3 linked regions of the Coturnix japonica genome follow. The protein of the gene in region 3 interacts with the protein of the main gene of each other region in a pairwise test. Links are inferred from orthologs where the notes say so. Each region holds a gene or a part of one and is shown on either strand. Other genes may lie near its edges. The genes, in order: TXLNB, ESRRG and DEUP1.

Region 1 (4,223 bases), on a different chromosome or scaffold from region 3:
ACCACAGCAATTCACATGTGCTGAGGTTAAGGCTATCAGCCTGAAATGGTAAGCAAATAGGAACTATAGAAATAACCAGTGACTCCAGAGTTGTCACTTACTATATCATACTGAGGATTGTGTTTACACAGGCAAGCAAACATTTTAGCATTTTCTTTCATTCTCCTTTAGGCTAAATCAGAGATCTGATAACTGCTTTCAGCACAAACACAATGTCTGTTAAGACTTAGCACCTTGTTTTGTGTAATGGATTCCACAGTGTGAGAGAGTTTATATTCAGGAAGACAGAGCAGCTCTCATCTTCTGAAAACAGCCTTTGGCGACGGGAAATTTTACTGCAGTAATTCCCAGTCCTGCTCTTGCTCCAACTTGTTTAACCTTGATATGCATCAGGAGTTCTGTCTTATCTGGCCATAAAAGACTTACAATGCCAATCCAACAAAATCCCAAGTATTTACATTACTGCTGTCTCAGACACAGTAATGTCTAAAAATTAGGTGGCTGATCCCAGAAGAGAAGTTCCTCAGCCCCTTAATTTCCAACAGACTGAGGCAAAGGAGACAGAGCCTGCTTTTTGACTCTGCCTCTTGACTTCTGTGACTCCTACAGCTATCACTGTCTTCACACACACAGGGATTTTCTATAGGGCCTTAGCTTATTTTATGGTGAGGGGTAGGACTGACCAGTCATTTGATTGACTCTGAGTGTTTGGTCTTGTTTACTTTTTTCCTCCTACACTTCCAAACCCTGTACTTGCCCCACAACTCTGAGATCAGTATCTCTCTCAGCCCTACCTTTTTGCACGCAATTTTGATTCCAGACAGTCATAGTTGCTCCCTACAGATATTCCCTACAGACTGAGAAAATAGTACAGCCATACAATGCTGTTTCTACATCAGCCTTGCAGTTTTTAGCTCTGTGTCTGCTTGAGATAGCCAGTCTAAATTTCAAGCCCAGACCCTAGGTGTGTGTGTATGTTTCACTTTGATTCTGAGTGTAAGTCTGAAACCCTAAGTTTGTCTTCATCATCAGCAAAGTTAGAGAAAACCATGCTGGAGTCTGTGGGGACAGCATTGCAAGTCATGGCTGGGAGGAGGTGTTGGCAATGCAGCTCTTGGTTGCTTAGCCAGGAAGACCCAGGACCTAGCTGTAGTGATGGTCTTCCACCACTAGGAAGCATCCTGAGAGCCTACTGCCTCCCTATGCTGACTGTGGCAGAGCTTCTCCTTTCCTCTCCTCCCTCAGTAAACACTCAGCAAGCACATCCCAAGAGAAGGACGGACCTCCTTTGAACACTGCCCCAGCCTTGGATGAGAGGTGACTGATGCCAGGCACAGGCTGATGCCTTTCTGTAGGAGGACTCCTGTCCAGACCTGCTGTCCTGCAGTGAGACTGGTGCCTGGGGTTGATGCAATCAGCATGTTGGGTGAGAGAGCACACAAATGCGGCAAACACGCAACATAACCAGAGGCAACAGAAAAGAAGTGTGCAAGTTCAGTTAGATAATGTACTGAGTTGGTTTAGATCTGACCGTATCCCTTAGTATTTCACATATATGGCACTATCTGCATTCACTCTGCTTAGACATCTGTCAGTGCTTCCGAAGCAAAAGGTTGGCAAAGCAAAAACTCATGAGCTGTGTTGTTGCTGCTGGACAAACCACCCCACACAGTGCCCTGTGCCAGCCCTCCTTGTGCTGCTGGGGTGGAGGTGCTGCTGTAACTGGAAGCACAAACTGAGCATAAAACACAGGTCTTGAGCTTGGGCTTGCATGCTGTCACAATTTATTACTATTATTATTATTTTGAACAGAACTCTTACCATTCCTTCTCACAGGAATTTCTTTGTCCTTCCCTTCTTGCAGTCTGAACTTCTGGAGGGTTTACTAATTCGCCTATATTTAGCACCTGCCTCCCCATGGGTCCAACAGAAAGACACATGGCACCTGCTCTGCAGCCAGGAGTTATTTTAAGCACTTCTAAAACGGGGAATAGTATTTCACACTTTTTGCTCAAAATTCACATACTCGCACATACAAGTTCCCTAAAACAAAGTGTTCTATATAATTACACCAGGCAGCATATGCCAATAAAACCTAAAGCTTCACTTCAGCATATCACCATACTAAACTACATAACACCTCCCAGCAGCAAACATTAAACCCTGAAATGGCCAGCAGTGGTGTAGATCCAATTACCCTCTAGAAATATAGAAGTGCCTTCTTATAGCCTGAAGGCTGTTCTATATATTACTTCAGAACGCTATGACAAAATCAGCTTTATCAACTATGTGCTGCAGCTGAATGGTGTTGTGATTTATGCATGATTTTCTAGCACAAAATCGAACAAATCTGGCTGTTTGGTGGCACGTCTTCTTACAGGCATGGATAGAGCCTGGACCCAGAGACTTTCTGATGTCTCCTGTCTTGTCTTTCATGTGGTACCTGAGTCTTCATCAGTTTTTGTTGTCACAGCCATAGCCTCTATTTGCACCCAAAAGCCAGCTCTCCCAAGTCAGCTTACATTTTTTTGATCATTCAAGCATTTCATCCTTTCACCAATGGGCTTCCATGCTCTCCTGTTTTCCTCACATGCCACACAGTGCCCAGGCTTTCCAGTGGGGAAAGTGGGCTGACTGTCTCAAAGGGAAGCACTTAGATTAAAGTCCTTGTGCCATGCCACCAGCAGTAACAGCAGGGAAGCTCTTTGTCAGACTTACCAGAGCAAAGAGAAGTGCAGGCAGAAGTCAGGTAGAAAGCTCAAACCAGGGCACAACAGCAGCAGAACACCGGATTATAATCCTGCCACCAAGAAGATCAAGTAAGGGGGAAGGAGAGAGTGACACAGCAGGAACAACCACTGCAGAGCCCAAATGCGCACTATGCAGGGGACTGGCTGTGATAGGCGAGCAGGGAGGCTGCCTGCTAGTTGGCAGCATAACCCAACTATGTTGGCTATTCCCTTCTCTGACAGAGATAGCACGAGAGGTCAGTGACTCAGGCCCTTAGAAAGAAGAGATACAGGAAGGATTCAAATACAGCTGCTACTCTTGAAAGCTAAGTCTTAGTCTATCAAGGATTTGATGTGTTGTGCTCTGTGAAACTTATCTTTATTAAACATGGACTGATCAAACTCTAAGTCTTCTGTCTACACCAGGAAGACTAGGGTGGCTTTCCACAGTGTGAGCTCACACCTGTGACTGCCCTTTGCAGTCTGGTCTGGATTTGTTATAAACCTGATTCCTGGTCATAGACTCACAGGAGGACCACTGGATGTCTCTTGCCTTTTGCTCATAGCAAGCTTAGCTATGAGCTGAGACCAGGTCTCTCAAGACCTGTATTAAGTATTAGCATTAAGAGACTGGGCAACCTGTCCTGCTGCTTGGCTGTCCTCAAGGTGAAAACGTTTCTCCTCACATCTGGGTTGAACCTCCTTTCAGCTTCCTGTCCTCCCACCTACACCCCTATGGAAAGCCTCTATCTGTCTTCTTGTTAATCTCATAGGTACTGCGGGCTGCAGTTTGGAGTTCTCAAAGCTCTCCCTTCTCCATCCCACCTTCCTTAGTCACAACATGGGGCAAATAATCCAACCCCAGCCACCACAGTGTCCCTCTGGTGAATGGACTCATTTCTGCGACTGGAATGCTAGGAGAGATGGCTGGTGTAGTCTTCTCTTTGAGTCAAGGAGCTCTCAAATAAATGTTTTTGTTGCTGCCAAGGTAACTTGCCTGACCTACTTTCTTCATGATACCGTGCAGGCTCACTCCGGCCTGAAGTTGTTTGTATAAATAGGCAAGCACTCCTCAGGGAGTTCAGCTGCATGCTGTTTATCCAGCGACCAGCATCTCCCACTGCTGTGGCCCACAAGTCACTCAGGCAGCATCTCAAGATGCCAGATGGCCTAAGGACCATCTGCTGCTTACTCCCTAGGGAGAGATGTAGGTCAGTTTAATGCACAAAAATGCAAGCAACTGGGAAGCAATAGACTGGTGCTGGAAGTGGCAGGCAGTGCTATGAGAAGAGAAATAGGACTTCAGCTCCAGTGGAAAATAATAAGCCTCGGAGCAAAAATAGGAGGAAAAATAAGTATATACTAAAAAAATTTGGAGTAATTTCTTAAACTGATGCATTGTGTGGCACTGGAGGATCTAGAAATGTTTTGTAGCAATATCTGATTCATGAAGAAGTGAGAGAGAACAGCACTGGACTGCTCAATATCTAGAAG
Region 2 (4,327 bases), on a different chromosome or scaffold from region 3:
CCTGGTTACACAGCCAGGCAGTGGTAGAAGCCAGAAAAAGTCTGACTTCACCACCAAGATGGCATTTCCTTTGCTTGCCTTGTCTCTTCAAGAAGAAGATTTATGTTTCTTTTTGGTGCTTTTTAATTCAAAGGGTGTGAATTGTGAGTACCTCTGAAAATTGGGCCACCAACACTTACACTTGTTTGTGCTTGCGAGTGTGCACGTGTGTGCAACGTGCGTGATCAGATGTTGTGCGTGCACAGGATCTCAATTATTTTCCTGTTTGAATCACTGAGCTTGCTGTCTTGATGTACTGTCAGTTTTGCTTTCTGCCCTTTGGAATAAAGTTCAAAATGTTAAAGAAATAACACACAATATATTAGGAGCTAGGATAGTCATAGTGCCCAAGGGGAAAGGAGTGTGGTGAATAATCTGTTTTATGAATGCCTAAAATAAAACCTTAGCTACTCCTAACCCAACTCTGTAGTGATGTACTTGCAAAAAAGTGATTTTCTAAATGTTGTTTTGAGGTTTGGTTGTTATCTTGCAGAGAGCGGTAGCCTCCCCCCTCCTCCCCTCCTCCCCCCCCCCCCCAAAAAGCAGCATGCAGGGTCTTGGTCATGCTCTGGACATGGGTCATCATTGTTCTTCTGAGTATTACTCTGGGCTAAGCACTGAGGCAACTAAATTGAAATTAATCCTTGATAATTCTTTAAAATCAAACTTCGCTGCCAAGTTTAGGGGTTGAAACACCTCTAGCATGTTTATATATCACTTTTCTGGTTTCATCAACTCATGTGGACAGCAGTAAGAGGTGCAAGAGTGGGGATGGGTCCTGCCTGTCTCCCGTGGTGCTGAGGCCAAGCTGCAAGCTGGGGCAGTACTAATGTGTGGTTGGAGTCACTGCACTGGAGTCCCAGGCTTTGCCAAATTGAGGATACTGGGCTCTACAGATATGACACGGTGCTAAAGGGTCTACCTTGGCTATTAAATGAAAGAACTGGCCTCCTCCACTACCCAAATCTGTTGGTTTGTATTCTGTATCAGAAGAAAACAGCTGGGGTGTGTGCAGCTGATGCAGGGCAGGTTCGGGTTATATTTAGGATAAGCAGGATGCCCACTGTACATATTGATCAATTCTGAGGCATAAAGTGCTTTTGGGTGCAGCTTGCAGCTTCTCATCTGCAAATACCAGGATCAAGGTAAAGCAAAACATCTCATGGAGAATTCTGCAGTTTGTAGTCCTGACAGACGAAAACCTTTTACTGTGACAGAGACTTCCTGCTTGTACTGTAACAAGTAGGGGTTTCAGATAATGTTAATGGTGCTAATATGTTAAATGTGGGTTCCTGAAGTCCTGTAGGACATGCAGCAAGCCCCAGTGATTCAGACTGGGTGAAGTTGTCAAAGGTTGCTCTGCTCTCCAGAGCCTGGCAATAGCTCCACTGAAATGTGATGCCATTGGTTTTCAGCAAAGGTTTCTTTCTGCAGGGCTGCAAACAGAGATCAGCTGCTACTGTGTATACACAACTAGGGAGCAAATCAACCAGCACATTTAAGGAGCCTTTTTAACCCTGAGACTTTCCAAGATTTCTTCTTCACACAGGAAGTTTCCTTTATATTGTCAGATTTAGCACTTTGCTCATGTAATGAGATCAGAGCTAGGATCACTGCTGCACAGTAGAAAGACTTCCTTAAGACATTTGTCCTTGAAACTGCACCAAACTCTTGGAAGAACCCAGAACCTGTAAGTATGTATGCTATAGGCAACAATAGCACAGAGCAGTGCTGCAATCAACCGTTGTACAATATCCGATTAGCAGTGCAGGAGGGGTTATTTTCCGATGCTATGTTACGTTCATTTTCAGTTTGTTCTAAGGAAACAAATCAATTCGGGCTTCTGATACAGTGACTTTGCAGTAGATGAGCTAGTAATGTGTTTGATTTAACTATTTGTTGCTCTCGTGGGACAATGATTGTAGCCATCATCCTGTACAGAACTTATGTTTTTAGGGATTTAAAATGATTTTTGGTAGCCATTGTGCAGATAAGTTTTTCCTTTGCTTTTTGATTTTGGCAACCCCACCCTACGACAAACTATAAATAACAGGGCAAAGGGAATTAGCGCACGTTGTTCTTAGGTAGCCATAAAATATATCTGTTTTTGCAGCTTAATTTACTTGTTAGTAACATTCCAGTGTTTGGGGGTATTTTTTGTCTTAATTGAATTCTACTCAGAGCTGTCTGTTCTGTGTTTTACGGTCTTGTCTGTGTCTGTTTAAGTTACTTTGCTGGGACTGCAGTCTGGTTAAACCTGTATTTAAGCACTATTTATATTCTGAGCACATTTCTGGTAAAATAAGTGTTTGAGATTTTTTTTTTTTTAAGCCTCTAAACAGTATAGTTTTATTAGCAGTGAGCACCAGAGGAGGCACAACATGGATGAATGTCAGATGTAGACCATAGAACCAAGTCCTCTGTGCGCTAAGTCAGAGCCGAACCTGTCCGCTTTTGTGACTACAACTAATAAGAGCCCAGAGCTCCCTTTTGATAAATTTTTAATATGCAACAATCCTTATGTTTATAAGATTAATTTCTCCCAGGTTAGCCTGATTGATGGCTGGATTGTGGTTTCTTAAGAGCTTTCTCCATGAAACCCCCCAGAAGAGCTGCATTCCATTTAACTAGTGAATGTAAAAACTGGTAACCATGGATTCAGCCACCACTAACTGTCGAGAGCAATGACTTGTTGTAAACAATACAAATGAGCCAGGATAGCAGAAGCAACCAGACATGAAATGATTTTAATAGAAATTACGGTAAAGGTCATGTGATATTGTATCGGCTTGAATTCAGTGTTAAAGGGAAAGTATTTCAGATTTGCAGGTTTGATTTAAATTGTACATCTTCGGTAGCTTCACGTTTGCATGAGACCCATGGAAGGGAAAATGAAGCAGTGTTTGGAAATGCCTCTGCTTAATTGCACATTATGGCTTATACCCTGATCCTGAAAACGTATGAGTAACTTTAATCAGTGAGATTATTCACGTACTTAAAATGAGGTAGTTGTATAAGTCTTTGCAGGATCGAGGCCTTTCTAGGTAAGTTAGTAAGGGGAAAAAAAATCTAAATTGTAAGGAAATAATAACCTGTCACTAATGATAAATCATGGAAATGTGAGTTTTAGCACTGTGCGGTTTGGTTGGAAATTGTTTGCTTGTATGGATAACAGAAAAACAAGTTATATTTATCCCTTCATTTTTAAATGTTATGACTTTCATTTCTCATATCCACCATTCCTCAAATCCTCTTCCTAATTTATAGCCTCTCTCCTTTGGATAACTGGTACACTGGGGTGTCAGCTATTATAATACAGCATGATGATAGGCACATGCAGATCGCATGAGCAGTCGTGTGTCCTATCTCAAGAATTTCCATCCCTACAAAATCTTTGCTGACTCCCAGCTGTCACATGGCTGTCACTCACAAATTCTAACCATAACCAAATCCTTTTCCATGTGCATGCGCTAACCAAACCTTGCTGTGTCCCTGTGTGCACAGGCACAAATGTCCCTGCTTTAAGTGCTTTCTCTGTGTAAATTGGGCTCTCCCCCAAGCCTGCTGCATTCCACTAATATTTCTCCATTAATTTGTTCTTGGGCGCTGCTTCCCTGTCATGCCTCTGCTAACCACACGTCCTTTGTAAGAAGGAACCTGGAATAATAATAGCAGTTGGTCAGAAATGCAAACAAAAATAACTTTGTGCTTTATGTAATACAACAACTCAGATCAGTACCAATCTAAACTCACAACTTCCACCCTAAATGTCTCAAAAATTTTAACTCTTTAGTGTTCCATAGGCAAAACTGTCACCTTGCAGCATACCAAATTGACACATTTGAGTACCAAATTTTTAACACTTACATCTTATGGAAAAGCCAGGAGTAGTTCCAGACCTTTTGTGTTTTTCAATCAGAAATATTTTAAAGAATTTCTCATCAGTCTTTTACAGATGACCAGTCTCTGCCAAGCAGAGTTTGCAACTGAAGATGTGTAGGTAGATACAGGACAAGTCTTGCTTTCCCTGTTCTTCTGAGATGACTCGTTAACCTGGGTGGGTTCACTTGTGTGTGTCAGGAAGGTAAGATTTAGCTTATGCCTAGATTAACAGCAAGTCACTCACCTAATACAGACAAAAATAGACTGACATACTGGAAAAATAAATCCATTACCAACAAAACAACAAGCAACCAACTTTTCAATAAGGAGGGAAAGGAAGGTTTGGGGAAAAAAAAACAAAACAAAAAAAACATGCCAAAATGTAAACCATTTTCTGTCAGGGCAG
Region 3 (3,304 bases):
AAGGGCAGTGCTGTTCCTTTTCCCTTCTCAGATGCGGGCATTGCCGCTGTAGCTCTGGCTTCAAGGCTTGGTTAATTGCTGCAGAAAATCTCACGTCTCTGCTGCACGGAGGGATAAGCAGTGGCTGATGGATCCGGGTTATGGGAGGAATACGTCTAGACATCTACTGACCTCTCTGGCCCTTTGTAGGAAAGAAGTTCTGAATTGTGCAGGAGGTGATGTGTGTTGTCTCTCTTGTTTGCCTCCAAAGGCACCAAGTGAGCTGTTGAATCTTTCAGCATGGGGTTTTGGACAGCCCATGGTGAAGGGGTTTCTGCCCTTGGATTATTTTGTGTATCCAGGTGCTGGGTTGGTGAGTAGTGAGAAGCTCTGCTAAGCCACTGCCTGGTTCTCTCTCTGTATATGTGGTCTGTTTATCTCTTTGTCCATCGCTTTTCTTAGTCGCTCTTCGTCCTCCAGTCCAGATTAGTTTGAGGAAAACCACGTTTTCTTTTCCATTACACTTGCACTGGAAAACAAAGGGCAAGAAATCCCTTCTTCACTCTCAGCAGCAGAGAAGTGCTATTTCTGAATGCTCTCATATCTAACATTGGGGTCTGAATCTACTTCTGGCGCTACAGCTCTTGTACTGCAGCTCTGGTGCTGGGGAGCAGCCTGTTGGGAGCAGTTAGCAAGAAACATTTTGGAATGTGTCAATATTATCAAATCAGTACAGGAACCTTACGTGAGCCAGTCTCTATTGGCTTACCTCGTGGGGAAGTTAGAGCTTTCGTGTTTCCAAGAGAAACTGTCTCACTCTGCAAAGAAATGGTGGCTTTTCCCTGGTGACTCGGTGTGAAAAAGCTCCCAAAGGCTTTCAGCGGCCCCATGTCCCAAACAGGCATCGGCAGGAAAACTGAGGTCAGCTGTAACTCGGTGTTTTGCTCTGTGAAATTGCCTGCATCAAGAGAAGGAACACATTTACGTGTACATTAACCAGTGTTTGTCAGCTCTTGGAGTAAAGCCAGTTCTCCCAGGGCCAAACAAACACTGTGAGTGAATGAGTAATAATCTGTTATTGTCACTCTTAATTTATGGATGGGTAGATAGAGCAGTGTTCGCCGTTTTAAGTTGTCCTATTTGCTTGGAAGGCTAAAAATAATGATTAGCTATCAGCCTGGAATTGGGGAGTATCTCTACTATGCAACCTTTGTAAAACTGGGATGGTAAGAAACATCATCAAAACATTCTTCCAAGGAGAAAGATGCATGTTTTTTAATAGGAACGCTTAAAATTGTTCAACTCTAAGGCCTGGCCCATATTAAAGGCCGCAGAGAGGCAAATAGCACAGCATCCCTATGGAGCAGAGTTTGAAGCGTTACAAGTCGCTCGTGAGATGAAATTCTGCTCAGAACACCCTGTGAAGTCTGCTGAGAGATCCCTTGTCTGGCTGCAGAGAAGTGTGCAATATCGCACCTAAACGCACAGGCAGGAGATGGGTGAGAATTACAGACCTCATGCGCCAGCTGCTGAGTGTGCAGCGCCACGGAGCTGCGATGAGAATGGCAGCGGATGTCTGACTTCTCTAACAAATTGCCTCTCCCACCCACTCCTTTAGCCTTTCTTTCACTTCCATACAACTTTTCCTTCCAAGTGTGTTTTTTTTCTTCTTTCTTTTCTCTGCTATTCTCCTGCACTACGGGGGCTTTCTTGCTCTTTCTGTCCAGGCCTCATTAATCCTACTCACCTCCATATTTTACATGGTTGTTTCCACCCCCCCCCAATGGTGTTAAACTTCCTCTCTGTGTTTTTGCTGAATGAAATAACAGCAAGAAGGATCAGCATTGATGCTGTAGATGAGAGGATGCCCACAGCCCAGGGCTCTGGCTGCATCCACTAACACCGTAAGCAGTGGAGAATGGGTTAGTGGTTTCTCAGCCCCTCTGAAAGGGAGTTTCTAGGCAATGAAAGGGGGTTTCTGTGCTTCAAAGCCTTAGCTGCCAGTTGGTCTAAGCAGGCAACTTGGTAATATCAAAAGCTAAAATACCCCCCATTAGAGAGAAGCTCACATCAAATATGTTCCAAACTTGTAATCTCCCAGACTGTGGACACCCATGCCCTGCAAATGTGCAGCTCCCAAACCATCTGCACATCCTAATGCTGCGATTTACACTGCTACAGGCTCAGGGTGCATCCCAAAGTGTTGTCACTGATGTGAGCCTGCTGCTCTTGTGGTGAAGAAAGGGTCTGCTGGACTGAGTGCTCCAGACGATGCCCTTCCAAATGAATGTGAGCAATGAAAGGAAATGAATTGTATTCTCAAGTCAGTTGGATCTCGATGGAAATGTTTAAAAACCAAACCACCACCAAAATAAAAAAAAAACCAAACAGCCCATAAACCCAGCAGCTCGGAGGAGTGTTTCTTGCAATTGCTCTGAAAGATGGAGCTATTGAGATTAATGTGAATTAATCTACACAAAGTAAGAAAGATACCTACTTAGATCTCAGCAGCAGCAGCAGGTGCTTGCAGCATTATAAATAGAAAGCAATACAAATTGAGGTGCTTATTAAATTTGCCTTTATGATGCTTTGAAGAATTGCAGAGGAACACAAAAGAAGAATTACCAGCAGTGCTGGCTTAGGAGGGTGACTTAAAATAGCCGCGCTGCCAAAGGAACCAGAATGTGAATTGGAATAACTGCTGGAGCTGCTCATAAGGGTGGTCTCACAGCCATTTGTCCCTCACACGGGGTGGCTGACTGAGAGCTGAGCACGGAGGTGATTGAACAGTGGAGGGCTTATTTCTTTTTGCCCAGTTTTAATCAAGTGTTGCGTTTTAATACGTTTTCCAAGAGGTTGCACTCTAATCTGGGATTGCCTGTGTTTAAAAAGTTTCTCCTTGTCTCCTTTTGGTTCTTCCCCTTGTTGACAGAAACTGATTCTTCAGGAAACCTTCATGGTTGGGGAACGGGTTTGTTTAGAATTCTTGCTGCCTTTTTGGGTAAGGCTTTTGTGAGGATCCTGTGTGTCCTTCAGCGTTTTGGTGGCTGAGCAGGGCAGCTGACAAATGGCCTTGTAGACCAGATTGGAGCAGCAGGCTCAACAAGCAGAGACGACATTAAAAATGAATCAAAATCAGTGGTTTGGGTGGTGGGTTTTTTGTCTTTAATGAGATGCTCAAATTGATTGACTTTGGCAGGGAGAGTACCAAGAAACTGCAGTGTGGGGAAACCGGGATCAGTGAACTGGGGCTCTGTGAGATGCTGGATCCTACCTGCTGCCGTGCTGCAGCGCTGGCAGGGCTGGTGGTAGAGATGGGTTCTGC

Evidence for each region.
Region 1: the proteins of DEUP1 (region 3) and TXLNB interact in binary tests that used the Homo sapiens proteins (3 or more experiments, as listed by UniProt). The two-hybrid records come from large-scale screens. The link is inferred for Coturnix japonica from reciprocal best matches to the Homo sapiens genes DEUP1 and TXLNB.
Region 2: the proteins of DEUP1 (region 3) and ESRRG interact in binary tests that used the Homo sapiens proteins (3 or more experiments, as listed by UniProt). The two-hybrid records come from large-scale screens. The link is inferred for Coturnix japonica from reciprocal best matches to the Homo sapiens genes DEUP1 and ESRRG.

The regions. Positions count from the first base shown.
Region 1 is NC_029518.1:48,823,786-48,828,008, reverse strand, and holds the start of TXLNB (beta-taxilin), read right to left. Parts: upstream 2,921-4,223; 5' UTR 2,719-2,920; intron 1-2,718. UniProt on the Homo sapiens protein: Promotes motor nerve regeneration. May be involved in intracellular vesicle traffic.
Region 2 is NC_029518.1:17,480,602-17,484,928, forward strand, and holds the start of ESRRG (estrogen-related receptor gamma), read left to right. Parts: upstream 1-1,481; 5' UTR 1,482-1,631; coding exon 1,632-1,729; intron 1,730-4,327. UniProt on the Homo sapiens protein: Orphan receptor that acts as a transcription activator in the absence of bound ligand. Binds specifically to an estrogen response element and activates reporter genes controlled by estrogen response elements.
Region 3 is NC_029516.1:166,248,404-166,251,707, forward strand, and holds part of DEUP1 (deuterosome assembly protein 1), read right to left. Parts: exon of another isoform or gene 3,254-3,304; intron 938-3,253; coding exon 749-937; intron 655-748; coding exon 584-654; 3' UTR 509-583; coding exon of another isoform or gene 498-508; 3' UTR 1-497. UniProt on the Homo sapiens protein: Key structural component of the deuterosome, a structure that promotes de novo centriole amplification in multiciliated cells.